4 linked regions of the Caenorhabditis elegans genome follow. The protein of the gene in region 1 interacts with the protein of each later gene in a pairwise test. Each region holds a gene or a part of one and is shown on either strand. Other genes may lie near its edges. The genes, in order: hlh-11, dmd-8, unc-98 and ztf-2.

Region 1 (9,320 bases):
AATAAATTAAAAACGAAATGACAATGATTTATCGAAAAATCTATGAAAATTCCGCAACAACGAACGTTTGAAATTACAGTACCCTTAAAAGGCTCACATATATTCGCATTAAGTGAAAAAGACCGGGTACCGTCTCAATTTTTGTATCTGAGTAATAATAAAAAAAAGGAATTTCAAATAAATAGTTTTCAGATCATGTTGTTGTCCTCGATAATGCTGCACTGCACCGTCTTGCGGCTGGAAAATTCAAAACAGATACACCAACATTTGATCATATCAATTCTCTTGTCGCCCGAATCATGAGCACTTCCACTGCTCCATATCGATTCAACTCTGCAATGTGCCCATCAATTCGGTATTTGGATTTGGCTCCGTTTCCACCAATGCACTTTATTCAATCCGGTTTGTTTTTATTCCGAAATATGTTATTTTATCTATTTATTTTGTTTTTTGCAGCTATCTCTCCTGTTGTCGATCCAAATGAGAACTTTACCCGAAAAACTTCAGTCGCTGACGTCACTCGCTTCTTGTTAAAACCAACTTCAATGATGGTTTCAACTGCTTCTCGGGTTCGGCCAAATGACTGCATGCTATCAGCTTACATGTTCCTTCAAGGACAAATTGAGGCACATACAATTATGACTGCTGAGCAAAACGTTGATGTAAGCTCAATACTTTAAAGAATTTCCGGGAAAATTGAAAAATAAATTTACTAAATCAACCATAAAATTCAATTTTTATCAAATTTTGTTTATGTTCATGAAAACTATAAGAAAGCATATAAATATTTTCTAAAAATAAAAATAAGCAACTTTAAAAAATATTTTTCGAGATATCGGAAAAACGAAAAATTTTCGTAAGCTAATTTTGGAGATGTAGATTTTATTCTCAAAACACGAAGGCGGTCACAAATACCGAGATACTGCAAACGAAAAAAATCTTCAAATTACATTGCAAAAATGAGCGCTTATTTTGACGAATCAGCAATTGTGAAGCAAACTTTTTTAAAAAGTATTTTTGACATGAAGTAAAAAATTTTTAGAAACTTGGAAATTTGACAAAAGCGTGGCAATTCAAATAACACATTAGTCAGAAAATCAAAAATGCACCAATAAAATCACTATTTTAAAGACAAAATTAGTGATTAATAATGACTTTTTTTCGTTATTTTTCTATAATCCACCTTAAAGCATCAAATCAATAAAATCAAATTTCAGTTCGCAATCAGAAGGCCTCCATTCTACATGCTTAAACCACTTCGAATGATGCATGCTCCACTCTCTCCATATGTTCGGCCACAATACAAAGTATCTGGACTCTTGCTCAATAACAGCACAAGCGTGGCTCCGTTATTCGAATCGCTTCTCTCCAAATACGACAAACTACGATCAAAGAGAGCCTTCATCGACAAGTTTGAAAAGATTGACAATTTCTCGCTGGATATGATGGACGATGCAATGCACATTGTGCAAGACTTGCTGGACGAGTACAAGGCGGTCGTACAAAAGGACTATCTGACAAGAGGGCTTTAGATTTATTATTATTTATTCTCGCGGGATTCTCATTCACTTCTTAAAACGGATCTCTGTCGATTATCATATGCTGTGTTTATTGTATTATTTATATCATGTGCTCCTCATCATCATCATAATTTTCACATAAATATTGGTACTCTTGTCTCAGTGGTTGTACTATTGAGGTTTATTTAAATTATTTAGTTATGATTATTGCGCGATAGCAATAGAGAGACATATTGAGGTCTGAAAATGAAAGTGTTTCAAGCTGCACATACGGTCAACAAAACCACCGGGTGAAAAATGAAAAAAAGAGGAAATCGACACGATTTGTGTAAAAGTAACGGGGCAGTGTCTGGAGATGAACAAGACTGGAAAAAAAGGAAAATGAAAAAACAAAAAGTTATCGGTGGGGAGAACGAAACAATGGATAGGTCCGTGAGAGCGCGGGAAATAAGGAAGCTAGATTGATTAGAAGAAAAATGACAAGAAGACCACAATCGGCACAAAAAATTTTGGAAAAAAACATTTCATAGAAACACAACAAGTAGTATACCTAAAACAAGAAGAAAAATGGGAAAAGAACAAAAATTCATCAAATTTTGTGATAAAAATGATAGATACTGTGCCTGGTGAGAGAGAGAAAAAAGATGAAGAGCAAAAAACAGGATCAACCTGAAGAAAGAAAGAGAGAAAAAGAGAAAGAGAGAGAGATTATGAAACGTGGAAAATTTGATAATTGTATTTGTAATTGTAACTCTACATTTGTCAAAAGTCAGGCTCAACGGACGAGCGATGTCTGTGAGGTTGGTGGAGGAGATGTTGGAATGAAATGACTTCCCTCCAAATGACGAATAGCTTCAACAATTGTTTGCATTGATTGAGACAGGGTCAGGCTCGGTTGTGTGCTTCTGGAATTGATGGCAACATATTAATTTTTTTAAAAATTCGAAAAGTTTGCTCGAGAACTATTATGCAGACGTAGAAAATCTCCGCCCTCCATAGCTGGGTCTCGTTAGGTATTTGGCGGCAAATCCGTGAATTCAAACGTTTGTCATTAAATAATTGTACCAATTTTCAGGAGTTTTTCGTCGTTTTTCGTCTTTCGTTGTTTTTATTGGAAAAATGGTTGTTTTTATTGGAAAGTTTTTTTAAAATCAATTTGGCATACGTACCCAGAAAGACGCAAAATGTTCAAACATTGGCGAAACTAATAGAAAAAGTTTGAATTACTGGTTTGGCCCCCCAATACCTAACGAGACCCAGCTGTTGGGGGCGGTCCTCGATTTTACAAGGGGGATTTTTCTACGACCTCATAATAGCAATATTGCAACCTACAGTAACCACAACATTTTTTTTGACTGTATAGAGTATATTATAAAAAAGATTTAATTGAAATTTAATAATCAGCATAAAATAAATTTAAAAATTAAATTTATAACGAAGATTTGAATTCAGAAATTGAATTTTGAAAGTAGATCATTCCACATACAGCCTTCTTCTCTCAAAACAGAAAACTGAATTCATAATTTTTCCCCCATAAAATATACAGAACTCACACAAACGCAGAATTATGTCCCTGCAGATGATGTGGCAATGCGACGGGTGTCGAGTTACCGGTAGACATGGCCGAGGTGACCGCTGCCGCCGCTGTTTGGAACAAAATACTCGATTGAGTTGGAACTGCTGTTGAGAAGATTATTGGAGCGGCAGTCAAAGGTGATGGAGTTGACAGAGATGGTGATGATATTTCAACTTAAATGTTTATATATATTTATAGTCAAAAAGTTTTATTTGAATATTCCAGGGCTTCAAAAAATGCTACCATGCATTAGGCCTTAATACTCTAAATTTCCCAAAAGACCAAATTTTCCAAAAAAAAAATTTGGTAATTTACCAAAATATTGCCTGGAAATTTTGAAACATCTCAAACGTTTCATAGTGTTTTGTTTGGACATTCAATCTTTTTGAAACTAATTTTGAATATATCTTTCCAAAAATTACCTGATATTGGTGGTAGTGGTGTAGGACGGATAACAGTTGTCTCTAAACTTGGCAATGTTGGAGGCGGATGGAATATACGTTGAGACGCCAATGATTCAGAAGAAGTTGGACTACCGTTCAGTGTCAAAAGAGACAACGGAGTACTTGTTGTATCTTGAAATGATGGTTTCCTTTCCGGTGATTCTCGTAACGGAGTAGGAAGAGCCGATGAAGCATATGAAGATGGCAATGTGAAACCACCAGAACCATTAGATCTTGGTGTCACTGGTGACGATGCTTGCGATGATGTTGTCGTCATTTGGAGCAGCTCACGGAGCTGAATTACTTGACTCTCCAAAGCCTTACGGGCGGCTCGTTCAGTTTCTAATATTGTTTGGAGATGTGCTATTTGCGCTTGATGGTCAGCGTCGTGGTGATCTTCTGAAACAAAATTTAATTTGAACAGCTTATATTAATTTCAAGTTTGAACTGATTTAGGGTAGGCACGATTCAGTAAGATTTAGACTTCTTCAGGCCATTCTAGGCTGGAATTATTTTGTGGAATTTCAGAATTTCAGATTATCCAGATTTTTGTTGAAACACAGTTTCCATTCATCCTACTCCACTTTTCAAAAATATCAATAAGATATAAACTTACCTTCAAGTTTGAGTTTTTTGGGTTCTCCACCGTCAGGTATATCTTCTCCTTTGTGTCCCAAAAGTTGATGAACCATATCCGCAGTTTGCTGCAGAATAGCCGCCTTCGACAGCTTTTCTCCCTCTTTTCTGGGAAGTAAGGCTCTTAGAGCCAAGAATCCCGCATTGATGCTCTGCATCCGCCGCCGCTCGTTGCAATTGGCAATTTGCCGACGCATTCTGGATCTATACTATATAAAGTTACAGTACTCACCACCTTTCAGTGCTATAAAACTAACCTTCTGTCGGGGTCGAGCGACGTTGGTGAAAGTGGCGCCGGTTGGGATAGTGACCGGTTGGCGAGCATTGGTGCATGCCCAATCGTCGAGGTAGGCAAGACAGAACGCAACGAATTCTGCATTCCAGAAGCCGTCAAATCAAATGCCGAAGCAGCTGACATGATGGATGGTGGTGCCATTCGTGCATTTGTCACGGAATTCCAGTCGGCGATAGTCACGGGCAATGCACCTGTACCCGAACTCATCATCTCCTCGTCCTCTTCAGTTAGATCAAATCTGCAAAAATGTGTTCGTAGATGAGGTTGTTCAAGAAGCGAAATTTATCAAATAATTTGGGGCCAATTAACTTCAACTTTCCAATTAATGCCTTCTCAAGACGCAAGCTTTTTCGTGAATATCTTCATATTTTTCTATTCTACAACTACAGTACAGTACTCCTTTGAGGATAGAGAAAAAACATATTTTTTAAAAATTGGAAATTCACAAAGTCGTTTTAAATTATTATAAATGCATTTTAAAAAAAAATTCCAAAAGTGATAAAACACATTTTAGACCTTAAATTTGAACTTTGCCGACAATGGGTAACATTTGAACTAATATTAAAATAACTCTAGCTTTAGTTGTTCTGATTTTTATATTGATCTTTTCATCTACAATTAGAACCTATCAATTCAATAAATGCCACGATTCCACAAAAAAAAAGAAAGAAAATGGGATAAATTAGCTTCAATTTAACATCTCAATATTTCTGTTCCAAAAATTATGAGAAATTATTAGTACAAATTGCCACATGCAGTTTTAGAATTGAGGAAAAGTTCATCTGCGTCTCTATATTGTGTTTTTCTCTAAAAGCCAGGTGTTCTTGTTGCGTGTCACTGAGAACGAATTGAAAGCCATGGGAAATTATTTGAATTTTATTTATTGAAAAGTTACTGTAGACTTAACACTTCACTTGGAAACTTGATAGGTTTAGAGGGAGCAAAAAAAGTTTATTTTCGAATTATTTTCAGATTTTAATACTTTCATCAAATGAGAGTCTGATCCTGGATATATATATATATATAGTAGGCAGGCACGTCTTCAGACCGCCTGCCTAGTCGCCTAGAAGGCGGGAATTCAACCATATTATGATTATAAGCAAAACTCGGCTTAGACTTATGTCAATACATTACTTTTCGAATGTTTCTTCTTAAAACCATGAGCAAAAAATGTAGTACAAAAATCCTTACCCATCATCAATGATGATTTGATCTTCTTCTGCGCTATCCGAACGAACCATTTTCTACTATTGATCTACCTGAAAAAAATTTTCTTTTTTGATTTTTGAGGTTCTCGAATTGAAATTCTATTTGTTCCTTATTCTCTCTTTTTCCGACAAAAGTTTCCCGAAACCCGTAACTCTTATCACCTTTCCCCCACTATGTTGGCTGACTGGCTGACATGCCATTTTCTTTGTAGAATCAAAGAAGATAGGCTCTTTTCCCAGCTGAAAATCTTTGTGATAAGCAACACTTGGGGGCAAAGATAACAATGATTATACCACGAATTATTTGAAATAAGAAATAAATACTTACTGTTAGTACTACGGAGACTACGAAGGGACGATGGGAGCCGTCTGGATTACCTGAAACTTTACAAAATTGGAATTATTTGCGACAAAAAACCAACAGCTGATGCTTCACGAAAATTCTTGAAGGGGAAAGATCGAAAAAAAAAAGAGTTTGTCAGTGTGTCATATGGCATGTTTTACACAGACACATGAGGGGAAAGAGGAAGCAATCGAGGGTCGAAACACACCGACTTATAATTCAAAATCGGGCAGTTCGTCTATTTCATACGGTAGGTACCAATGTATATGTAAATTAAATGAAAAAGGCGTGAGGAAGAGGGCAGTTTCAGTGTAGCAGATGAAATAGGTTTTAAATGTATAGAAAATAGAAAAACTGAAGGGTTTATAATTGAAAAAATGAGAGGGAAAGAACAGGTGATCCATTTTCAGGTGTTTAATGCAACAACTTTTACTTAAAATGTTTCATGATACTAATTTGAATGATCAGAGTTTGGGAGTAATCGAAACATCAGAACATTGCCAAAATTGGAATTAGAAACCGAAAGTTTCTTGTAATGAAATTATTTTTAACTGACGATGAGCTTATCTCGTGAAGCCGACAGAGTCCATGTTTTAATAACAATCAGTTCTCTATAAATTTGCAGAATCACAAAACGTCTTTCAAAAGTTACAAACGGACTTGCTCAGATTCTCTCTTGATAAAATATGAAGAACCAAGAATAAATCGGTCTTAAAAAAAAAAAAAGAAAGAAAAAAAAAAGAATTTAAGGCTAGATTTCAAGATTTCACCCCAAGAAATGAAATATGAGCTCTTGATGTTTTGATCTTTCTACTTTCTTAAAAAACCGAGAAAAAATGTTGATTAGCGATTTATCGGAGAAACGAGAGAGCGATGAACACACAAACTGATTCTCAAACGGAATGGAGAAGACAAAACAGAAAAAAATATCAACAAAAAATTGGTTCCAACTTCCTTGAGCTTATAGACGATAGCCAATTGCACTTACCATATGTTTTTTACAATGAGGGCTCCCTGGAACCCATTGACAAGTCAACAAAAAGCAGTTGACCAGTTAGTTTAAGAATTCTTGGTAATTACGAAAAGTTAGTTACTTCTCACATAATAATCATAAAACTAAAAAAGAAACAAAAGTTTGATCAGCTGTAGTGTGCAAGTGTACGGGATGATCTAGTTGGTCAAGTTTGGCATTTATGGGAGAACAGCTGGGCACATAGAGCAACACGCAAAGTATCTAAAGTTAGAAAACATTTGGTAGTAGATTTATGAAATACTTAATAGAACATAGGTTAATAGAGTCTAATCGTGAAAATATTGGAGATTTCAGAGGAAGATTTCTCAATTTTTGGAGGCAATTTCCTGCCTAAATTTTTGTGTATAACATACATATAAAGTTCGTCCATAGTTTTGGCAAAACTTCGGAAAAACTTGGTCAAGATTTAGTTGAAACCGCGTTAAAGGTTGGGAACAATTTTTCATAGTCATACTCACTATAGTTCTTATAAGATCACAAAACATCACCAAAATCGGCAAAGAGATCAGTTCAAAGGCGTAGTAAAAGAGAAAGACACTGAACAAAACGACATCGAGAACTATTCGGACGGTAATGATCTGTTATCATTCAAAATAAAGGTTAAGGGATTTTGTTGCGATCTTCCCCATCAACCGATCCAAGAAACATTTTCTGAAGGGATCCTGAGAATTAGAGACAGATGGATGGATGGGGAAAACACCTGATGGCGCGGCCCCCAGTTTTGTTGGTTGGGGTCACAAACAGCTGTGAGTGGAGTGAGAGAGGGAGAGAGTGATTTAAGAAGATTTGGACGCAACGGAGAAACAGACGGAGAAAAGTTTGCAGTTCGCGTCTCGTTTCGTTTCGAGACCTTGTCTAGCGAAGGGGCAAACGTAAACGCTCGTTTCCGATGATACGGTAGGCGCGAGCCAGACAGTGAGTGAGATAAGAGATAAAATAATTTATCGGGGGGAAGACAAAGAAAGCTAAAAGATAAAAAGAAACATAACAACATATGGAATCATAACAAACTTGAGGCAGAAAATCAGAAATCTAGGAAGAACGATATGATGGTCGAGTACAGTAAGATCATAGAGGTAGACCCCCTCTAAAATTGTGGGGACTTACTGTTTTCTACTCCCGCAATTTTTGGAGGTCAAATGGAAAGAGGGTTCACCTGAATACTCGTAATAATGGGTACTATATTAATATTATTAACTTTTTCATAGATTTTTCCAAACAAGAGGAAACTTGTTGATCAAAAAAATGGAACTCTTACCATATGGAATTCAATATGAAACATGTTGCAAATAAATGTCGTCACAGACGCAAGGGTGTGTGTGATTTGACAGAATAGGTCAGGTGTTCAATCGCGACTAGATTTAGATATTGGGGTACACAACCGAAAAAACGAGACGATCGAAATACGTTCGTCGGCGGGACGAGAGATGGGGGAGCCGGGCGCGAAGAGAGACTGCGAGACAAATAGACATATACACAGGCTGACTGACTGGCTGACTGGGCTGGGGGGGGACGACGCTCCGAATCATTTGGGAGAAAAAAGTTTTTCGCGGCGGCGACGACGACGAAGACAGCGGTGGTGGTGGTGGACTGATCGGTTTGCTGCAGCAACACAGGCAACATGGGGTTGAGATGAGAAAGGGAGAAATTGGAAAAAAAAGAGATGGAAAAGAGAAGAAGGAGCTGACGAGAAACACACCACACTCACACACACACACTCACATAAATGTTAAAGGCCAGCAGCAGCGCCTCAATGGTCTTAGGGGTTGAGGGAGCGGGCGCCTCCTTCTCTCTCTCTATTGCTTACTCTCTCATGTTCACTATCTCTCTATATCTCACAATTTCTCTATACTTTTCCTATTTCTTCGTTTCTCTGTAGCTCTCGTCGCAAAAAAGGAGGCGAAGCGCCGAACATATCTCTGCGTCTCTGACGCACTCGTTCGACGATCATCAGGCTTTCGGAGAGGAGGAAACGAGAGAAACGATGGGCACGTGGATGGGCACCGACGGGGTCGGGATGCCATCGACATGTGTTTTTGGTCGGATGATCTTCGAGGTTGAGTTGGCGCCAGGATGTGGAAGAGGATTGGTGAAGGATGTTCGAATCAAACAGATGGGAATATTGGTCACTAGATCATAGATAATTTGCAAGATGTCCATCAGGAACTACACAGTATTGGCTTTGTGGAAGCACGATGCATACACCGCGACTCGAAAATTTTTGCAATTTGCGCCTTATGAATGGCCGTTTTTGTGATGCACCATG
Region 2 (6,528 bases), on another chromosome or scaffold:
ATATATATTGTTTTGACAGATATATAAAATTCTCAATACCATCATACTACACACATTTTTTTTCTTAAAACTGTGGAAACCCAAAAAATAAATATAATTTTGGCAGGTGAAATTTGGGCTTTTGATTTTTGTTATTAATCAGTATGCCCATGTTCAATTTTGCCTCACTATTAAATTTTTCGAGAGTTCGCTGCGAGACCATTCAAATTCTAATTTTTCAAAATTTCGACAGGAAAATTAAATTTAAATTTTTAAAACAACTTTAGTAAGGAATTAAACTTTTTACAAAAAATTCAGAAATTAAATTCCCGTGGCTATTTTTTCGAGAAAATCAGCATTTAATATTTCAGAAAAAAAAATTGGCGGAAAAAATTGCACAAATTTTGAAATTGAACGACAAGTTTGATTTTTTAAGGAAACTCAAAATTTTATTTTAAAAAATCTTGCAAAAATTCAAATTAAAAGTTTTAATTTTTTTGAATAAAATTTTTTAAATTAGGGGGTTTCAACTTTTTTTCCGAAAAAAAATTATTTGAACTTAAAATGTTTCATTTTTATAAAAACTAAATTTCTCATAACTTTAGTGTTTTTTTACTTTCAAATTTGAATAAAAACCACCAAAAATTGATTTTTTTCAAAAATGTTTGTCAAAACAGGAATCATGTCAGTAACCCTCCAGACAATCATGTTTTGTGAAACGTACCCAAATCACGGGGGACCAGTAGTGTCTCGCGGTGTCTAGAACAATTTTGGACAAGCGATCAGAAACGTGTACATATAATACATATAAGTCTAAAGTTAGAAAAAATTTCTAAAAACAATATGTATGTTTTTAAATGTTAAAAAAAATTAAATATAGAGTTGTTTTTTTGAAAACTGGCAATATCACAATTTTTGCCACTTTTTCGAAAATCAAATTTTAAAAGTAAAAATAAATTTCTTCGAGCTTTTTTAGTCTACTTATGAGTCAAATATATGGGGCAAAACTCAATAATTGCTTTTTTTGACTGTCCATAAATTTTTTTAAAATTGTTTTGAAAATTTTTATTTTGGTATTTTGTCATTTTACACAATAGGAGTGGTTTTTAACAATTTCTTAGCTGGCCCGACTGCATCTTCTACATGAAAACTCAGGAAAACCAGTGATCTCTCAAAACTTTTGAAATTTTTATGAATAGCATTGGCCAGCATCGCATTTTGAACCATCTTATCCAGTGACGCAAAAATTTGACTTGACCGAGTCAAGCCGGTGCTTATCCAGGTACTTTCGAACAACGTGGCTTGGAGCTATCAAAAATGATAAGCAGATTGAATTTTGACGTTATTGGTGTCAAAACCAATGTCACTAGGTATGGTTATTTTTAGGAGTGCAGGTTTTTTTTGGAAAATAAAAAAATGTAACTTCATTAATTTTTTCCAAGAATTTTTCTTATGGGTTGATTTTTTTCAGGCTTTCTACCTACCTCCAAGAAATCTTGTTGCATTCTATGTTTTCCTATTACCCCTATTCCACGTGACAAAATATAGATTTCCCCGGTGGGAGCAAGAATTCTTCAAAGATTACGGTAGAGCGTCTAGACGGTGGCAAAAAAACAAAACTTGTCGATCAGAAATGAGCATTTCCCAAATGAGCATAAACTAGTATAAAACAACTAGTTCCTACATGTTTTAGTATAGTTTTTTTAAACATTTTTTTTACTGGAAAAAATGTTTTTTTTGTGCAGCCGACAGTGATCGAGGACGGTACAGAATTTTTTTTTAACCTTGCGTGTAAAATTTGGTGCATTGGAGTCGGTGAACGAGGCTTTCGGGCTTGCTTGCCAGGCTCCTTTTCAAATTTAGATCGAATTTCATTGTTTAGAAAAAACATTTTAAAAAATTATTCCATTATTTAGAAAAAGAAAAAAAATCATTCAAAACAAAAAAAGCATGATAAAGGCAATCACAGAAATGGATTTAAATCGCCTAATAATTCAAACACAAGGGCTAAGCAATGCGAGAAAAAGATTAGCAATCGTCAAAATCCGCTACAGATTTTCTTATATTTTCCACACAAAATTTGAAACCACTCTGAGCGATTGATTTTCGACACAATTTGTCATCCGATTTGTTGAAACTTCTGAAAATCTTTTTAGTTTTAGTGTTTTTTTGTGGTTGTTATGAAACATTTTGCAATGATTTTCAGCTTGCTCAACTTTGAATTTTCCAAGGTTTCGTAGGCGTAGACCATAGGCGTAGGCCATTAGCCATAAGTGTAGGTCATAGGCGTAGGCAGTAGGCGTGGGTCATAGGCGTAGGCAGTAGGCGTAGGCCATAGGCGTTGGCCATAGGTGGAGGTCATAGGCATATGTCATAGGCGTCGGCCAGCAAGTTTTTCAAGTTTTAAAAAATTCGAGTGTTTTCAAAACGAGATGAGCACCACCTTTTTGTGAACAAAATGAAATAAATCGGCTTTTAGTCCAACTGCTCAGTTGCTCCATACTGATCCGCGTAAAACCCCGACCGGATTGCCCCTCCTTATCTACGCAAACTGCGAATCTACGTAATTTCCCCCATCGACATGAGAATTCCGTCATAGCTCCGCAGAGCCAAAATAGAATGTTTACGGCGAATTTTCTCGAATGAGTGGGGAGGGATGGCGGAGACGTTAGACATGGTTAGACAGCAATCAGGGATATTCAAGAAAGAGGCGGAGCCGGCAGATACAGAAAATCTTTCATTCCTGGATTGAAGATGGGAAAGGCGGATGAAATTTTATTTATTTATTTCGATTCCATTTCATTTGTGAATTCATTTCGATAGCTTTTTTGCTCCAAGGGGAGCTAGGTTACTGTAGATAAGGGAAATTTTTGGTGGCCGAAGAAAACTAGAAAAACTTCGGTCACGCGCCCAAGCCTCTACAACTTCCTGTTTTGCTTATGCTTTCCCTGAAAATTTCTCTGAAAGCATCGTCTATATAGCCCCCAGGGCCTTATCAGGCGACTAGTAAAACATGTCACAAGATTTTTTTTCAGACAAGTGACTGAAAGTACTGTAAATATTCCATTGACGCAGTGTCTATAAAATTTCAGCCAATCAGGTCATCAAGCTCAAGCATCCCTTATCTTGTAGCCCTCACAATTTCATTTTGTGCTTCAACTTTTCCAACTCTTGAAAAATGGAAAATTTCAGACTTACCTGATCATGTCCTCATCTTCCCTGTCATCTTCTTCAAATGCCTCATCGCTCAGTGCTCCAGAAGGGCTTTCACCAAACAACAGCCTCTCCCCGGATGTTGGAGCACAGAGATTTTTCAGCCAAGGGAAAAGGATCCCGAAAGGTGAGCTATAGCTTCTTAGCAGCCGACAGTTAATTGGTTTCACGAGAAAGGGTCAGTAGAAAAATGTATGGTTGGTTAACTGTCGGCTGCTGATTTTTTTTCAGAAATTAGTATGGCCTACGCCTAACATAGTTTTATTTTTTGTTAAATTTTCAGATGTGAAACGGCACTGTGGAATGTGCAAGCAGCATGGAGTTTTCGTAGAGACGCGCGGGCACACCTGCGAATATAGAAGTTGCGAGTGTGAGCAGTGTGACTTGGTCCGTAAGCGACGGGAGATCATGTCAACTCAGATTCGTCTCCGACGAGAGCAAGACAAGAAGTTCCAGGTACCTTGTGATTTTTTTCCTAATTTTCCTAACTATCCCCGTGTTTCAGCGTACCAATGATATCAGCGAGGCCAACGTGTTCCCAGGCTTCACAGGTGGGGAGGCAGATGAAAAAGCTGTCATGGAGAACATGAACATGTGCTATTTCTGCCAAAAATGCAAGAATCACAATGTGCTCGTCTGGAAGAAAAATCACAAAAAGGAGTGCCAATATTCCAGCTGCGAATGCCAACAGTGTAACTTGATTGATTCCCGTCGTGCCCTGGACCGGCATATTAAGAAGCGAAAAATGAGCATAAAGGGCAACACGGTTGAAGCTATCGCACCGAAAAGTCCCAAAAAAGAGGGCTCCACCACGGCTTCATCATCGTCACTCTCATCTTCTTCGGGCTGCAATTCGGACGAGTCGGCTTCATCCTCGGATTGCTCGCTATCTGGAATGCTATCAGAGAAGTTGAACATGGCTCCGCAGGTTCAGATGAAATTCGACTTCAGTGCCGGGGGATTTATGATTCCTGCAGCGACTTCGGCAAATGCAAGCACTAGTCCGGCTGGTTCTCCATTTGAGGTGAGGTTCAGATTTTCTGAAAATTTTTTCAGGTACAGCTTGAACCTGAAAAGGCATGTGGGCATGTAGGCATGTAGGCATGTAGGCATGTATGTATGTAAACCTGTAGGCATGTAGGCATGTAGGCATGTAGGCATGTAGGCATGTAGGCATGTAGGCATGTAGGCATGTAGGTATGTAGGCATGTAGGCATGCACTAGTCTCGTCCTAAAAACTGCTCTAAAAGGTTTTTTCCAGAATTTCTAAAATTTCTAAATTAAATTTTTTTCAGACAACATCTCCAATGCCGCTTCTCCTTCCGCATTCACCAATTGCTCTTCCACAACTTGCTCCATCAAGCCTACCGCTTTCATTTCTTACCGTACCCTCTCTCATGTCCACCGCGGCCTCACCATTTTTCACGGCTCCGCTTATGTACGGAGCTGCTCCAACTCTTTTCCCGAATCCTCTCCTGATGACCCCTATCGGAATGCAAATGTTGTTCCAGAACTTTCAAAATTTTCAGAATATCCGTGAGCTTAGCGCTGCAATTAGCTGCGCTGAAACCGATTGATTTTTCTTTTTAATTTTTCAAAAAAAAAAACAATTTCCAATCTGTGATTTATTGTCTTTTCCCTGTAAAACTCTAGTTCCTTCCCAGTTGCACCTCAAAAAGAGTAAAAACCCCATCGAAATTTTAAGCTGTGCGGGTTTTCAGTTCAAACATGATGATAATAATATTTTGATGTTTTTGTGTTTTATATTTCCAAAAACTTTTTTTTGATTCTGCAAAAGTGATAAATTAATAAAATTGTACTCTTATCAATTTATGACTCGACTAGAAATTGAATTATAAAGTCACGGTTTTTACAGAGAATTTTCCGAATTTTCAGCCACCATATCTGGAATTAAGCTTGGATTTAGAAATTTCACGGCCTTTTTTGCATAAAACGTCAGGAAGCAATCCCATATATTAAAAAAAAACTAAATGTTAAAATTCAAATATATATTTTGTAGAATTTTTTGTAATTTTTTTTCAAATTTTGCTATTCCAAAAATAAGCTTTCCGGCTAAATTGAGCAGTTTCACTTTTTTTGATTTTTTATTTGAGACGTGATCTGTCAAATTTGCATGCATTTTACAGCAAAAAAATTAATGTTAAGTTCAGGCCAGTTTTAGAGTTTCACCCAATTCCTTTCGGCCTGTCAAGTTTCCTTTAATGACAATGGTTGAAAATTTGAAAAAAATGGCCGAAAAATTCATTTACCAGTGAAATCTCACAATCAGATTTTTTTCAATTTTTGAAAAATTTAAAATAAATCTTTAAAAAATTAGAAATTTTGTTTCGGTTAACATGACCTGTTTTTTTGTATCTCTTCAAAAAATCTCTTATAAAAAGCGAACTGTAAAGTGTCGGCTGCTTCCTAGAAGTTCTCGTTGTCTTCACAAATCACAAATAAAGAAAGAAGTCATGTCACGATCGTGCCCTCGAGACGTCATATCAAATTCTATTGCTTATCAATGTTTCAGTGCCCAACCTGAATCCTGAGTCACCCGAGAAAATGTTCTTGTTAACGACTCGAGCCGGTACTAGTGATTTCATAAGTTTCTTATCAGCTTTATCAATAAAAAATGTTTTTAGTATCGTCTTCGTAAAAGAAAAATGGAATGCCGGTTTTGAGAATCACATAGAGCTTGTGATTTTTGAGATGACGTGAGGAAGTCAGGTAGTATAAAATAAATTACGTTTGAGTAACTTTAATTGGATTTACTTTGGTTTTTTATTGTTCGGTGCTCGCCACGACATCATGCCTGCGTGCCTGCCTACCTACGCGCCTTCAGGGTGTGGTGGCAGTAGGCAATCTTAGGCTAGCACGCCAAATGCTCAGGTTCTGCAAATTTGTTTTTTGGTGTTATAAAATTTCCCTTCTTCTCTATGTATCCTTATCGAAAATTGTTGATTATGGAATTTTTCACACAAAATGCGGGTTTTTTCCTATCAAAATTTTGGAAAATGTCAATTTTTTCCGGACAAATTGACATTATTGTCACGGTTTTAAAATTAGGTATAAAAAAGATAGACGGATGCTCAAAATATTTATTTTTGACTTATTTTTAAATTTTCAAAAAATATTTATATTTTAAGAATTAATAAAAATAAGAAATGTAAGAAATATTTCCGAAAATCTGTTATTTTTCTACCAGTTACCAGCTTTTCAACCAGCCTACTTTCCTGCCGGTGCCTGCTTTGGAATTTCAGGTTGGTAGGTAGGTTGGTAGGCAATGTATTTTGAACCTTTTGCAGTAATGAATATTTTTCATGAAACTTTTAA
Region 3 (8,298 bases), on another chromosome or scaffold:
CCACCGGCGGCAATATTTCTAAAATGATGATTTTAGTAATGAAGTCAAAACAAAAAAATCTATAAAAACACATTTTGTAAACTTACGTGTCAACATAGTACTCCGAGTCTTTGTCAAAATGAATATCGGCATGCTTGTGGTCTGCAGAAACCTGAAATATAAATTTGAAAATTTCCTATAGCGATTCGAAAAAAGCAAGTTGCATTTTATAAAAATCATATTGGTCAAGCTGAGCATAATGCATTAGTTTCTTGCCGTCCTTCTCACCTTCAAAAATCCACGAGAGACCAAACTTTTCCACTTCTTCCCGTCTTTGCTGTCATGATCCAAATCGGTGATCAACATTATTGAGTATTCTTTTGCTCCATCATCAAACTTCTTTACCGAATACAAGTTAGCATGGTTGATGTGCTGTAAATGGATATGTGCGCAATCAGCTGAAAATGTAAAGAGTTACCTCTTCCTGTTCGCTAGATTTGTTGAATTGGGTACCCGAATAAAAGGCAATAGCGGTCACAAACCCGAAAAGAAGGAAGTTGAAAAAGTTTGAGTTACTTTCTTGTGTCATACCTAAAAATTATTTTTGTGAGTCTTAATTATAAGCATTAATTGAAAGTAAGAGATTTGAGAAAATATAAGTAGAATAAAAAAATAAAAAATGGTGTAGTTTTCCGAGAGTACTTCACGGCCGCGTGGCCTAGTTTTTTCAATGGGGACTCGATATTAATAACGAACACAAGTGCGTGTCCCAAATTGCATTTGCTTTATTGAGTGAGATATCGTGGCTGTGAAGTGGCAAAATATTTCGAGAACCGTTAATTAAACAATTTTATACATTTTTAAATAATGAATTCAAAATGATGCAAAATAAATTTAAAAAAACGTACAACTTCTAGAACAACGAACAATTGAGCTGTCTCGCTATCATCATCTTATCATTTTTGCTATCAAAAAATCGGTTGTGGGTTGTCGTAACACATCACAGAAGAAAGATTGATTGTGAGAGAGCCGGACAACATTTGTGCTAGCGGTCAATGTCTTTCCCGCTTAACATGGTCCCAATTGTACGATTGACCAGGAATCGATATTTCAGGGAAAGAAGAAAATACCAACAAGACATGACGAGAACAGTATTTATAGAGTGTGTCTGAGTGCGTTGGAAACACACGATTTTTGTGCTTTGTAGTCAATTGTAGTTTATGTTGAACACAAAACGAGTTTCTGCTGCTGACCGTCTTTATAACGAGCGTCTTAAAAATGTGAGGAAAAGACAAAATGACAAGAAATGAGAAAACGATAACACTAAAGAAAAACGTTGATTTAGTTGAAAGAAAGAAATATGAGTTATATGAAAGAACCATATCGAATATACATTTTGAAGGACAAATATTGTTAAAGCTAGCCGATGTTGAAATATATATATATTTTACAAGATCTGGATAGATTTAAATACTAAATTAGAAAAATTTTAAATACTCAGGGGTTGCTCAGAATCGCGGAGTCACGTATCCGCTTGTTCTTGGGAATAAATAGTAGCTTCTGGAATCAGTGTACCCAACTCCTTCCCTTCCCATCATATAACGAGATGCTCGAGGATTGAAGTACTTCTCTCCACGATGACTGTACATGTGATATGCAAGACCACGACTGTCAGAGTAGCTTTTCGAACAATATTCACAAATGTATGGTTTTGAACGAACGTCGTTGTACACTCGGAGTGGATGCTTCGGCTCGTATCCTTCAGTAACGAAAGCTGGCTGTGGAAGATCTTGCTCGGAGACCGGTAGGACTCGCTTCTTGCTTACTTTTATTGTGGTTGTCTGAAGTATTTCAAATTATATTGGTAATCTTCATTCTTCTCACAAATGTATTCCTTGTTAAAGTAAAAAAACGGTTTCGGCTTTTTTTCCGTGTGATTTTTAACAAAACCAAACGAACGAAATTTGAAATACTACTTCTCAAAAATTACTTAAAAACTTGTTTATGGGGGTTCAAAATTTTGAAAAGGCAATACCCAAATTTCAGTCAAAAACTCGAGTTGTTTCAATTTTTCCCAGTCACAAAGACTTAGGTAGCAAATTGTGGTAATTTTTGGTCCCTAATTGCTTGAAACGTATCTTCATTAACAAAACAACGTAAGGTAAACGACCAAAACATGTTTTTAAATTTGGAACTTTCTTCGGTTTCATAACTTCTGTTTCATAACGTTTTCTTTTTTTTGCACTGAAATTCCATCTGTTTAACAGTTGTGATGCAAGAAGTAAGTGCAGTCGTATCAAATTGCACCCTCTCACAGGCTATCAGCAATTTTTTTTTGTTGAGAAAAATATTTTTTTTACGTCAGAAAGCCAAGACACACAAAGTTTTTGTTCACAATTTTCTCACATCAAGGACTATGAAAACCAAATACAAAATTGAAAAGCGAATGGCTGGATGAAAAGGTTTTGATAGATTTTGAGTCGAAAGAACTGAAGAATAAAAAATCAAACATTAAAACAGCCATAGCTAGATTCTGTTGATTTTTTTCCGAGAAGTTCGTAATTCAGATTTTGTTTCAAAAAGCTCTACTGATTAGTAAAATCTAGTAAATTTATTATTTCTCAGATTTCTCAATTAGACAAACCTCTGGAGCACCTATCAATTCGAGTGGATCGTCCGTGTGCTTGTGATATAACATTTCCGTGTAAGAAAAGAACGTCCTTCCGCATTCACACTTGTACCCGTCAATTTCTGAGTGCTGAGCGGCATGATATTCCAGTTGGCAAGCAAATTCAAATGAGTCTCCGCATTTTCCACAGACATATGGCTGAAACAAAGAGTTTCTATAAGTAATCCAGCGAATGAAAACCTGTGAAACGTCATGTATTCTCTCGTGTGCACGGAGAGTGTTCATGAAGTTGAATGTGAGTCCGCAGAAACGACACTTGTAGAATACAAATCCGTTGTCATCTTTTTGCACACTAGTTCCGTCCTGACGCACTTCCTGCAATAATCACTTTTCATCGACTAAAAGAGTCTCTTTTTCATTTAACGCCTTCTTCATTCCCTCCCTTCTTCAGTTTTTCCTTCATCTTATATTTTTCTTCCTTTTATTCCCATTTCCCTCATTCTTTCACATTCAAGCTGTCAATGCTCACATCTATATTCCGCACATTTGGTTCGTGTGCTGAAAGTGAGCGCATCAACTTCAACAACAACAGCAAAATGTTTATTCACAAACAAGAGTAAGTCAACAATACCCATGTGAATTAGCTTGGGAAAGGAGAAGAATGGAAATGGATAGGTTGAAGGAAAAAAGCATAAGGAGCAGCAAGAAATTATATTCCAAGTTAGTATTTGAAAATGATAAGAGAAAAATAAAATCACAAACAACAAAAATCATAATTTGTTTTTTTTTCTTCTTAGCATCCTGCTGAGCTTTCTCTTCCAACAAATGTACAGGACATGGTTACTTCGACAATGGGCTAAATTTAAATTAAATTAGAACTGAGTTTGTCTTTGTGTATTCTGGCAAATAAGTTTTTACTAGTATGCTAATTATAAAATTAGAAAATAAAACCTTTTCTAAACTATCTAAAATTCAGCAAAAAATTAACAATTTCTCTCAAACAACTCAAAAAATATAGTTTCATTTTCTCCGGAAATTTTGCCTGTACAAACCTATAGACTACATTCCTAATCAATGTTTTTTTAATTAAAAATTATTCAAAGCACGAACTATTCAACAAAAAATGCACAAAAACACACACTTCATAAAAACAATAAAACAAACCTGTTGATCACTGCCATCCAAAGCACCGCCACTCGATTTTGTTGGAGTTTGAGCACTTGAACTTCCGACCTACAATAATTTACTTGATGCTTTTAAAATCAAATTAGGATGGCGCTGTTTTAAAGTATTTAAGCGTTTTCAGACACTATTCAGATAATTCAACATTTTTTCACTTGTATCCAAGGGTTGAAAAATGTCAGTATGAATCCAATCTTAAAAACATTTAAAAAAATTTGCCTTAAAACCTATCAAACATTTCAATCTCTGAAATTCTTTTTTTTAAATTTTACCAAACTCACATATGCTTCAACTGTTGGGGCAACAACTTTCATGATCTCTTTGGGCTTTTCCTTATTTCCATTTTCTGACGATTCTCCATTGATGCCGAAGGTTTCTAGACCATGAACCATCTGGAAGGTATTTTTTTAATCATTTCGCAATACAGACACCCCCGCGTTTTTCTCCGGTTTTTCCGTCATCTCTCGGTTTCTCTAACTCACTTCATTGTTCTTCACGGACATCTTGGCAAGATCACAGGCATTCATCAACTCTTCGAAGTCATCTCTTTCCTTTCTTGCCTAAAAAATTCAAATTTAAGTAAAGCTCACAGTGATCAAGAACAATACCTCTTTGAAGATGTCGTCATCCATTGTTGTATCTGGATATCAGCGGTTAGTCGTCGGAATGGGGGTGAAAATTGTCAGAGGGTAGAATGCTCGGTGTGGCTAGCTGGGGTGCTCAACACACAGTGTAAACTCAAGAGACTCGTCGCGATCGAAAAATGCGAGAAATCGCCTCTGCAATCTCTGGATCTGATGTGCTCTTTTGAAATGCTCCCGCTCTCTCATTTCCTTTCCTCGTTGGATGTTTTGCGGGACACTTCTGTGTCTGCAGTCTCCCTCAATCTTGCTCAACTGTCTTAAAGAAGAAAGAGATCTTGACGACACAAGTAAAAAAAGCGTCTAGATTGCAGTGCTCGACATAACTTCAAAGCGGAATCATGTTTCTGAAATGAATGGCACAGATGCTAGTGTTTGTGGGTGACATACATTTTGTGTAGTACGTTGAACACGTGCAAATGATTTGGAGATGTGGGTACAAACAAAAGAAAGAGTACTTTTTTTTTGAAATAATAATCGAAAAGGATCAACGAAGTTTATATTTTAGAAATTATTCAATATGAATTGTAAAAATATTAAATTACATACTGTAAAACTATTATTTGAAACTATGCAGGATTATGAAGCTATTGTTTTAAATGTGAAGCATCGGTCAGGGTGATTTTTTGTAATCACTCCTTTATACAGTGATAAATAATCTAAAATAATTTTGCTTTCAAAAAGGTAGTTATCATTCAGTTTTCACAAATCACAATCTTGGAACACGGCAAAAATAGTTTTTTCTACATACAAGTTTCATATTCTAACTATGATTTGATCATTTGTATATACATATATTGTAGACATTTAAAAAAATGCAGAATTGCTCTAATATTTTTCATAGGTTCAACTTATTCTAGTTGTGGCAATTTACCACAACTTTGAATGAAAATTCTCAAGAATCTAAACGGTTATGTGGGACTTTTATGACTTTTAATTGGAATAAACATTTTACTGGAGCTGCACCACCTTCTGGATTGATCGGATCTTTCTTTCATGCATCACAAGCGGGCTAAAAGTGCACCAATGTTGAAATTTTACACAACAAAAATGCATTTAATTGTTAAATTTTTAACAAGTATAAAGTAACCAGACCCTTTTTCATTAAAAAACAGTTTTCCGTATTTCCTCTATTAGTCTTGCAGCCTCTATTAGTCTTGCAGTCTCTAATAGTCTTGCATCCCTCTTTTTTCAAGACCAGTAGTACTTTGCGGAAACGTCAGCAAATTTGATATTTTTGAGAAAATAACCTAGAAAATGATCAAATAATTTATGAAATATTGCAAAAGTATATATTTTTATCGTTCAGCAAGCTATCGAGTTAAGTTTTCAACAAAAAATAGGTCATTTTTTCAAAGATGGGGCATTCGAAAACTAGTCTTGCAGCCTCTAATAGTCTTGCAACCCTACAGACCAATGGAAAATTAGTCTTGCATGCAAGACTAATAGAAGAAATACGGTATATGAAACAGTCTCACTACTCGGGCTAAATATAAAGTTTTAAAAGAGAACAAGCGACTCACTACGAAATTTGTTTTTTTTTTCCAGCACATTTTGAGTCAATACGTTTATACCACGAACCAATAGCCCTACTTTATAAAATCCTCTCTTGTCAGAAAAGCCGGACCTCCTAGATTTCCATACTTACTGTGTACTTGTGGCCTCACAAAAACTTCTTACATAAGTATCTTCCCTTATGGAACAGTAAAACTACATTATTACCGGTTAAACGTTCCCGCCCCGCCTTCGCAGCGTTTATTAGCTTTTTACCCCTTGATAAATTTCAAGGGGTAAAAAGCTAATAAACGAATAAATAAAAATTTAAAAAAACTGGTACATTTTAAAACGTTTTTATAGGATCAAATTATTGGTTCTTTTTTTAATACTACATTCGTTTTTAGTGTCAAATATTAATTTCATTTTGTGGGCAGAGGAACATTTTGAATATGAATTTAGAACAACGCACCATGTCTATATTTCCGGTTTCTTCGCGTTTATTATCAGAGAATTACCTGAAATCCATCACACTCGATATAAAATGCCTTAATTCATAACTTTTAAATTCAAATGACAAATTCTATCTATTTTTATTACCAAGTAACAGTCAACATATTTTGTCTAGTCCGTCAATGAAAACATTCCAACTTTCCGTCTCAAGTTGATGAATAACTATGAAAATGATTTTTTTAAAATCACCTTTATCGTTTTCCAATCCGAAAATTAAACTTTCAATCCGAATTCCATCTTTTCCAATAAACGTGCATTACCGCAGTGGTGGCCGCTATCAAATGCTATGAAATCAGAGTAGTTCCAGAGTCCAGAGTCTCATTTTTCATTCTTTTCTCTTCTTCTCATAAACAACTAATTTCTCTCCCAGCAAACCACCCTAACATTTTCTGTAATGGTTCCTCTTGACTTTTGCTCTTAATGCACTACACCGACTCGGCACGTCATATTTTCATGGTAGAGAGAAACATGAAAAAATGAACACGAAGAATGACCTTTTTGTATAGTGATTCTTTGAGTTGTATCTTTATCAGTTGGCCTCAATTCTTTCGTGTCAAAGAGAAGAAAGTGTGGACAGATTGAGGGGAAAATGAGATAAGAGAACGTTTGGCAAGCAATAATGGATGGGTCAATGAAACCTCTAAGAGTACAGATCTATTGCGTCAATTATGGCATGAATCAAATCACCTCACTAACTTTCGTTTTTTACCTTTGTACCGTTGGGTTTGGAGTTGTAATGGGTGTTCAAGAATCCTAACACTAGGAGCAAAACTTCTATCAGAAAAGTTGTGTAATAAAAATTTATCTTGCCGTTTTTTTTCAATTAAACTTTTGAGCAGTTGGGGTCAACCAACGGAATCTTATATATTTGAAGAAACTTTGGTGGCTCTGCAATAAAATAATTTACAAGGTGAAGTATGTGTTGTTATGATTAATAGTGTTTTCCAAACGTTATCAATGTATTTATCATTGGTATATCACATCCATTCTTTGAAATCTATGATCACTTAAAATAGTTTTTCAAAAATTTTCTTTGACGCGTATTGTTGATAACAACAATGACAGTACCACTTTGGCAAACAAGACTAATGAGATAAATACTATATACCTATGTAAATAAATAAAGTTTATCCAAAATTATCGTTCATAACAAGTGCTTTTTAAGATGTGGAATTTAAGTTTAGTTTTAATCTGACAATTTGTGTTTTTTTATAAGTTTTTAGAAATGCAAATGAAACTGCTATCATAATTTTGACTTATCAATTAAAAAAACTTTGACGTAACAATTAAAAGGCACACGTTGTTTTTGGGTCTCGCCACGATCTTATTCATAATGACCGCGTCAGGTGCCAAATTCTACAGACTTGTTAAAAGTGAAGTAGCACCACTAGGGAAGTTGTTAAAACTACTTATAAGGTGTCAGTTTAATCCAATATCAAAGTAAAATTTTCAAAAAGTTGTTGAAAAGTTGTTATTTTGTTTTAAAATGATCTTTACTAATTTCTTGCCACTGTTTTGGTAGTCTTCGATCAAACAATTTTACATTGGTATTTTATAGTCTACTAAGTAAGTAAGTAAGTAAGTACTTATGTTTCAACATTAATTTCAAATACAAATATTAATATTCCCCCATTGTAGGGATTCGAACATGCGGCAGTCTATAGTTTTCTCAAAAAAAAGCAATATCAGTAACTCTCAATAAACCTTTTGTATATTTTTTCGAAAGGTTTCACTATGAAATTTTGTAATTTTTGCACAATTGAAGTGTTTTTTTAAGAATGTCCCTACTGGTGATACTCCACTGTTAACTGGATGTAGAAAAATGTTTATAAAACTTCCAATATCTAAAAGGCACCAGAA
Region 4 (6,563 bases), on another chromosome or scaffold:
CAATTTTTTTCAGGGATTTCCCGATAGTTATTTGTGATTAGATCTTTGAAATCTGAAAATTCAATCGGAAAAATTTGATTTCAAGAAAAAATGAAGCCGCATCATTCATTTTATTGTGATCCGCAGGCAGGTGACAACAAATAAATAATTAATCATAATTTTATGATTATGTTCCCTGTTTTCATTTCTTTTAAAATTTATAAGCAGCTGGAAATGTAAGAAAGAATGCTCGGAGAGCAAACTAAATGATTGTTATTTGTTTTTTTTTTTGACCACAAAGATGTTTACCAGTAACTACATATGATAAGTAACTACATAATCTGACCCTAAAACTTAAGTTTTTCAAAGAAAAACGAAACATTTCTAATTATAAAAGTTAATATTACTACTCAAAACGGATAGGACTAGTTTTATGTATTTGCATTTTCGTGTTAGCGAGAACTAAAATAAGTTGTACTTTTAATAGACTTTCAACAAATGCTTAACTACTCTTAAAGAATTGAGCTTAAATTGAAATCAAATGAAAACTATTTGTTGAATCACTACAGGCAATTTCCGAATAAGTCTAAAATTTAGTTAAAAATCTTTTTAATCCTCTAGAATAAAATTTTTCTGACATTCTAATATTTATGATCATGAACGTTGTCTATTGCTCTTTGATTTTTTTGAGGCGTTCTTCACATTCTAGTGCAGACGAAACGGAGCCAATTCTCAAACTTTAGAGTCTCTCTGAAATAAATGAAAAAATTGATGAAAAAACGACTACCATCTCCCTTAATTGTTCAATTTTTGAACGAGAGGCAATTTGTCTGAAAATCTGGAAAAAAAAAGTATTTGCATCAATTGCCCTTTTGTTGCCATTCGTGAAACTTGCACACTCAGCAGCAAGTGATTCCTCCAGCCCACACGTTTTCGGCGCAAAAGTGTAAGTGATAAGAGCTTCAACTGGTACCTCCTGGAACCGAGGAGCTGACAGTGCTGCTCTTTTTGGCAGAAACTAGCGAATGAGCACAAATGCACTTTTACTTTATCTAGGTTACTATAACCGATGCTTCTTCTATTACCTTTACTTCCTCCATTTTACTCCTAAAAACTGCTTGTCATGTGTTTGAACTGTGCGGGGCCGCCTTGAGGTCCTTTCCGACCATTCTGTACCAGGTTGTTCCTATTTGGATTTCCTCGAAGAAGTTGAGGGCGCGAGAAAAAACCGAATGGCTGCAGGAGACGCCGCGGCGATGGTGGTGGTTACGCAAACTGTGCTTGAGCAAACATGTGCCTGAATTGAAAAAGAGAAGAAGACGATGACGATTAGGAACAAGAAGGCATTGAAGACGTTGAAGAAGGTCATCTTTGAAATTATGTTCAAATATGTTTTGGTTCTAGTTACCCTAGATTTCAAAAATACTTGAAGTACTCTAGAAACCCGAGTTGATATTTGTAAGGTTTATGTTAAACTCTACGTCATATTTTGAGTAACTGCCTACCGTAGTTTTTACACTTATTTGAAAAGAAAAAAGCACCTAGCTACTTTTGTAAGTTCATATTCATTTTAGGGCTAACTTACCTGTGCCTGGTAAAAGCCCACAAGACGTCTAGAATTACTATTGCAGTCTTTTCAAATACGTTCTTTTCTGGAATGGTTCTTGTTGCCCTGGATTTCAAAAATTCTCTAGAAATCCGAGTTGGCAATTTCATGCTCGGAAAGTGCACTTTTTTTCGAAAGATGATCGCTCTCAATAATTAACCTTCATAATACACATCATACTCTTCTTTTTTGCATTCACTTACAGTAAGCACTAGATATCTCGGAATACTCTAGTTGGGTTTGAAAATCTCCACGGTCCCTTTTCTATTTTTCTAGCCGTCCCCTATATCCACCTACAGTAGCCTTTGCGCCTGTACCTCTGCAGCACTATGCCTAACTGGGAGCAGGTGAGCCAATACCAAATAACTTTCCCAAAACTCTTTCTCCTCCCATCAACGGTCATCCGATCTCAATATGGCCACGTCATGCTCCAACTTCACGTACGCTTTGGCTCAAAACGAGTTCACTGACCGAACTGTTTGTCCAACCAAAACCTTGTGGCCGAGCGCAAGAAAGAGTTGTGTGTTGCTGATATTTTGTAAAAAGTAAACGTATCCTCTTCCTCCTACTGCTGTTGCTGTGAAAGTCAGTCAGCCCCGGAAGTGAACAGTTCGCTGATGCGACGACCTCCCACCCTTCGGCCTCCTCCTCTTTTTCCCCCAACAAAACTTGTGTCAACATACTGTGGTAGGAGCGAAAAGGTACCGCGCGCCCCATCCGCATTTTGCCATATCCATTCCTTCCCGAATCGGCGCTTGCTTCCTGGTGACCCTTCCCTTATCTTGGAGCAACTTTCACTTTTTCCACTTCTTATCTCCAATTCTCTCGTCTTTCTAGACAAAATAGATATCAGAATGTTCCTCCAGTTCCAAGTACATTGATACTTTTTCTTTCTCCAAATTTTCCCACACCTTCTTTTCATTACTTTTTCTCATTCGTGGTCTACTCTTTCTTATTTTTGATCTCGGTTCAATATTAGAATCTGCAAACTTAACAACTGAAAAAATAACATTTCTAAACTTACTATAACATTTCCACTTTTTAATTGCATTCTTTAAATTTCGTAAATTTAAGATGAATTGTGAATCGTTGCTCACTGCCCTTGACGTATCCACTCTACTCTCAACTCTTTCCTCACCTGAAAAAGAACATCGTCGTAAAAGACGACGTGGTGAAGTAGCCAATCCATCAAACACTCTTGATGCTCTTGTTGCTCGCAAAGCCGACGATCAACCATTTGAAAAGAGATATCTAAGTGAACAAGAAGCAATTGAAGGACCAGATGATGAGATTGAAATGAAAAAAATGGAATTGGATCCTGATGTATCTACACGCACCTGCTCTACCTGTGGTTACCAAGGAAAATGGGTGTCTGAGATGATTCGTCATAAGAGAGTTCATACCAGTGAAAGACCATTCAAGTGTCGTTATTGCTCCAGAACCAGCAAGTGGAAGGCTGACCTTATTCGACATGTTGCAAGTGAGTTCATATTACTTTTCTATTACTTTAGGTATTTGAATTCGCTTTAAACCTTTTGTAATTCTGTCAGATTTGAAGTTTGGCAGCTTAGAACAATTTTTGAAATGTAATCAATTAGCTTCTGCTATACCTGAAAATGTATTCTCCAACCTCAATAATTTCAGAAACTCATGGAATCCGTGTTGTCTCCAAATACAGCCGTTCGAAAGTCTTCGATGCCACCAACAGTTCAATGGATTCTTCGTGTTCTTCAGACTCTGATCGATGCATAATTTCTGAAAAGAGAACAGTGTTCTATCGTTGCCAATTGTGCTCATTTGAAGATGAAAGAGTATCTGTATTGAACAGTCATGTAAGCCATCTTCACAACACCTCCCCATGTGTTTGTCGATGTGGCGCTAAATTTGAAGATGTCCAAGGAGCACTTGCTCATTCCAATGGTCCATGCTCCCATGTTGATATGATTTACAACGTTATGCCAACTTATGAGAAAGGTAAACCATAATTTTAAATAGTTTAATTTCATGATTTAAATTCCTTTTTTCAGCATCTCCATTATCCCCGTGCAGAAGCGAATCCTCATCAGACAGCGGAATTCAGACAGATCCTGAAGAAGAAGCATCGATTATTACATCATCCCTACCAACTCCTCAACTTGGATCATCACCTCTTCTGTTGTCACCAACACTTCCAGTCACTCCATCTTTCCTTCCAGACATTCAATCAGCTCTGCTGAGCCTTCAGCCAAATCCATTAATGTCATTATACTTGGCATCTCTCCTACAATCTTCCTTGTTGAATAGTCCAACTATTCCAACATCTTTTCCACAAATCATCCCAACTACGATACTTACACCTTCTCAACAAGATGAGATGGTTGACGTTGAGATGTAATTCTTAAGATCTTGAATCCATAATCTCAAAATTTATAATTAAAACAATTTATCACTTCTTTACTTGAATATCTCAGGTTCATATACTCGAACCAATATATTTTCTGTTCTACTTAGCCAATCACGCACACAAACCCCAAAAAAACCCCAAATCTTAGGTATCTACTCACATACGAATCTCGTCTCAACTCTCAGCTTCCTGGTGAATTCATATTTTCTTTGCTAATTTTATTTTCCTTATCTGTTTCTACTATACGAGTCATGTTTCTATCACACATCCCTCCATATTTCTCTATCACATTTTTCACCGATTTCTCTTTTTTTCGGGATTGTTCTTATTTATATCGTTACGAATATTTGGAAATATACGCTTGTTTAAAAAAGTATTATCACCACTGCATAAACTCATATTTTAAGCGATATTATTGATTTGTATTTGCTCGGCATTTAGTGCCTCCTTTCTCCCACCTTTTGAGGTCTTCTCACCTTCCGCCCACCTTTTTGCCACCTGCTCCCCACCTTTTGTAAAAATATCACAATTATTCAACAAATACTCGAAATTCAGTCGCGTTTGCCACCTTTCTCCCACCTATTGTGGTCTAAAACAGCAGCGGCAGCGTTCTGGTGACACCAAAACATGTATTTGTGATTTACAACAAAAAATCTCGATAAATAATTTTGAAAACAATAATTCTTACATTTCAAAATCTGCCTACACCAGACCTGGGAAACGCTTATTTTTCCTACCTCATTACTGCCAGTTCACTAACTTGCTTCTTATCTGGCCTGCCTACATACCTTCTTTGTTCCTGTCACGTCCGATTTTCCTTGGTTCGTCTAATTTCTTATTTTATCTAATTTATAAAACTGAATGTTTTTCTACCCGTCGATCAAAGCATTTCAAACACATAAACTATATTTCCGAAGTTATTCCATACATATAAGGCTTTTGTTTGATTCGATTTTTTTTAGGTGGCATTATTGAGGTTCGGATGTTAAACTATTCCTAAATCACGCCCACGTCTGAAATCTCCAATTTTATATTAGTATTATTTAATTATTTTGATCAACTTCACAGATCCATCCCGTCAAAACAACAAAATTTCGCTCATCAACTCATAGAACAGGCAGTGGCTATATCAGTAATGTATATTCTCAGAAGCAAGAACAAAATTTCACGGTTCACCGCTTTTTCTAGATTAATGTATACGTGAGTTTCACATGCTCCCATTTATAATTTCAAATTCTAGCACTGAACTATTAGATTCAAAATGTGCTTTAGTTGAATATCAATAATTTCTATCTAGGTACCAGCTATCATATGATAAGGTCCTTTGGGAAAAGAACACGAGAGCTCCGCCTGATATTTTGCTCATTTTATCATTATCGTGACAGACACGGAAGAAGTCATTTAAACCATTTTTCATTCTTGCTCTAAAATTCTTCTAAAGAAGCTCAACTTTTACCATGGATCTTTTTGGTTCAAGTTCGAATCGTTTTGTTCCAATAATCAACATCTACTTTCATTTCTACCTTGTTTCCGGTTTATTTTTTCAATGTATTCTGATGATTCTTATCATTCGAAAGTCTCCCAACAGCTTGAATGACCTCAAACTGTTTCTATACAACACGGCGTTTTGTCAGATTGCAAACATTCTTTCTGCTTATTTTATTCAATATAGGTTAAATAGTTTTTTATTGTTGAATGTCAGACCAATATTTACTTTTCTTGTTTCAGGGCGTTACCCAACACAACAACTCTAGCGGTTCTGGCAAATGGGCTGTGTAGGAAATTCGGACCGGAAGTCTGTTTTGGAACTTATCATGTTTATTTGGTGTGTTTGAAAAAATAACCTCTAAAGTTGCAATTAAAAAACATTCACTCACTATCAGCTCACTATCAGACACAATATATTTTTAACCAATTTTTTCTTATTTAGGGTATCAGCTCAAGTGTAGCTCTTTCCATTTCAACAACCGTTATGTTTCGATATTCTCTAATAAAAAACTGGCGTTTAAGCAGAACATCATTACGTGGATTGATTATATGTGGACATATTGCGCCGTTCATTGCTACAGTAAGACACTATTTTGTGCTCTTGTGCCCCATTACACAATTTCAGGCCATTCCTTTCACGACGCAATGGGATTTTGACGTTGTTCGTGCACAATCAGTGAAAGAGCATTCAACATATGATCTTTCTATTTATGCTCCATTTTCTGGATTTTCTGATACAAGATCTTTCCAATTCTTGTTTGTCACTGCGGCAATTGCTATTGGAGCATACTTTGTCCCTTTAATGTCGGTTTTTGTTATTCGGAAAATTATGATAGTGACCAAAGCTCATTCAAAAATGTCTGAAAACACTAAACGTCACACGAGGATGTTAATGAAGGTGGGAGGAATAATGAATTTTGATGTTTTACAAATCAAGCCGTTTTAAAAGTGGAGTACAGTGTATATGCTAAATTGACCTTTCTAATCGGAACTGTTATAAGCTTTCATTTTCCATAACTTTGGAAGTTGACTAAAAACAAAGAGAACGTTTTACCTACAAGTTGCATACTTCAATTATGTTTTCAAAATTTTGTATTTAATTACCAT

What was found.
Region 2: the proteins of hlh-11 (region 1) and dmd-8 interact in a two-hybrid assay, tested with the Caenorhabditis elegans proteins (one large-scale study listed by BioGRID).
Region 3: the proteins of hlh-11 (region 1) and unc-98 interact in a two-hybrid assay, tested with the Caenorhabditis elegans proteins (one large-scale study listed by BioGRID).
Region 4: the proteins of hlh-11 (region 1) and ztf-2 interact in a two-hybrid assay, tested with the Caenorhabditis elegans proteins (one large-scale study listed by BioGRID).

What each region holds. Positions count from the first base shown.
Region 1 is NC_003281.10:9,618,889-9,628,208, reverse strand, and holds hlh-11 (Helix-loop-helix protein 11), read right to left. Parts: upstream 6,063-9,320; 5' UTR 6,007-6,062; intron 5,942-6,006; exon of another isoform or gene 5,799-5,941; intron 5,730-5,798; 5' UTR 5,712-5,729; coding exon 5,662-5,711; intron 4,709-5,661; coding exon 4,433-4,708; intron 4,385-4,432; coding exon of another isoform or gene 4,380-4,384; coding exon 4,156-4,379; intron 3,939-4,155; coding exon 3,519-3,938; intron 3,270-3,518; coding exon 3,074-3,269; intron 2,885-3,073; exon of another isoform or gene 2,736-2,884; intron 2,426-2,735; coding exon 2,296-2,425; 3' UTR 1,681-2,295; downstream 1-1,680. Other genes in the region: tbg-1 (Tubulin gamma chain), read left to right, coding at 193-402, 457-662, 1,218-1,532. UniProt on the Caenorhabditis elegans protein: Transcriptional regulator. Component of a feedback loop involving atfs-1, atgl-1 and hlh-11.
Region 2 is NC_003283.11:333,094-339,621, reverse strand, and holds dmd-8 (DM domain-containing protein), read left to right. Parts: upstream 1-3,171; 5' UTR 3,172-3,183; coding exon 3,184-3,319; intron 3,320-3,475; coding exon 3,476-3,648; intron 3,649-3,697; coding exon 3,698-4,216; intron 4,217-4,487; coding exon 4,488-4,769; 3' UTR 4,770-5,021; downstream 5,022-6,528.
Region 3 is NC_003284.9:7,569,153-7,577,450, forward strand, and holds unc-98 (Zinc finger protein unc-98), read right to left. Parts: upstream 4,438-8,298; 5' UTR 4,423-4,437; coding exon 4,399-4,422; intron 4,351-4,398; coding exon 4,273-4,350; intron 4,183-4,272; coding exon 4,072-4,182; intron 3,842-4,071; coding exon 3,773-3,841; intron 3,225-3,772; coding exon of another isoform or gene 3,205-3,224; intron 2,984-3,204; coding exon 2,849-2,983; intron 2,807-2,848; coding exon 2,624-2,806; intron 1,821-2,623; coding exon 1,488-1,820; 3' UTR 1,222-1,487; downstream 1-1,221. Other genes in the region: Apyrase apy-1, read right to left, coding at 1-18, 87-151, 268-411, 458-568; pcyt-1 (Putative choline-phosphate cytidylyltransferase), read left to right, coding at 3,205-3,224. UniProt on the Caenorhabditis elegans protein: Probable transcription factor required for muscle structure.
Region 4 is NC_003279.8:7,288,613-7,295,175, forward strand, and holds ztf-2 (Zinc finger protein ztf-2), read left to right. Parts: upstream 1-2,659; coding exon 2,660-3,065; intron 3,066-3,229; coding exon 3,230-3,559; intron 3,560-3,612; coding exon 3,613-3,959; 3' UTR 3,960-4,340; downstream 4,341-6,563. Other genes in the region: srd-53 (Serpentine Receptor, class D (Delta)), read left to right, coding at 5,426-5,640, 5,697-5,793, 5,899-6,036, 6,082-6,354. UniProt on the Caenorhabditis elegans protein: Transcription factor. Represses gene expression, probably via binding to DNA consensus sequence 5'-[AT][CT]TTCC[AC][AG]-3' in promoter regions. May play a role in pharynx morphogenesis.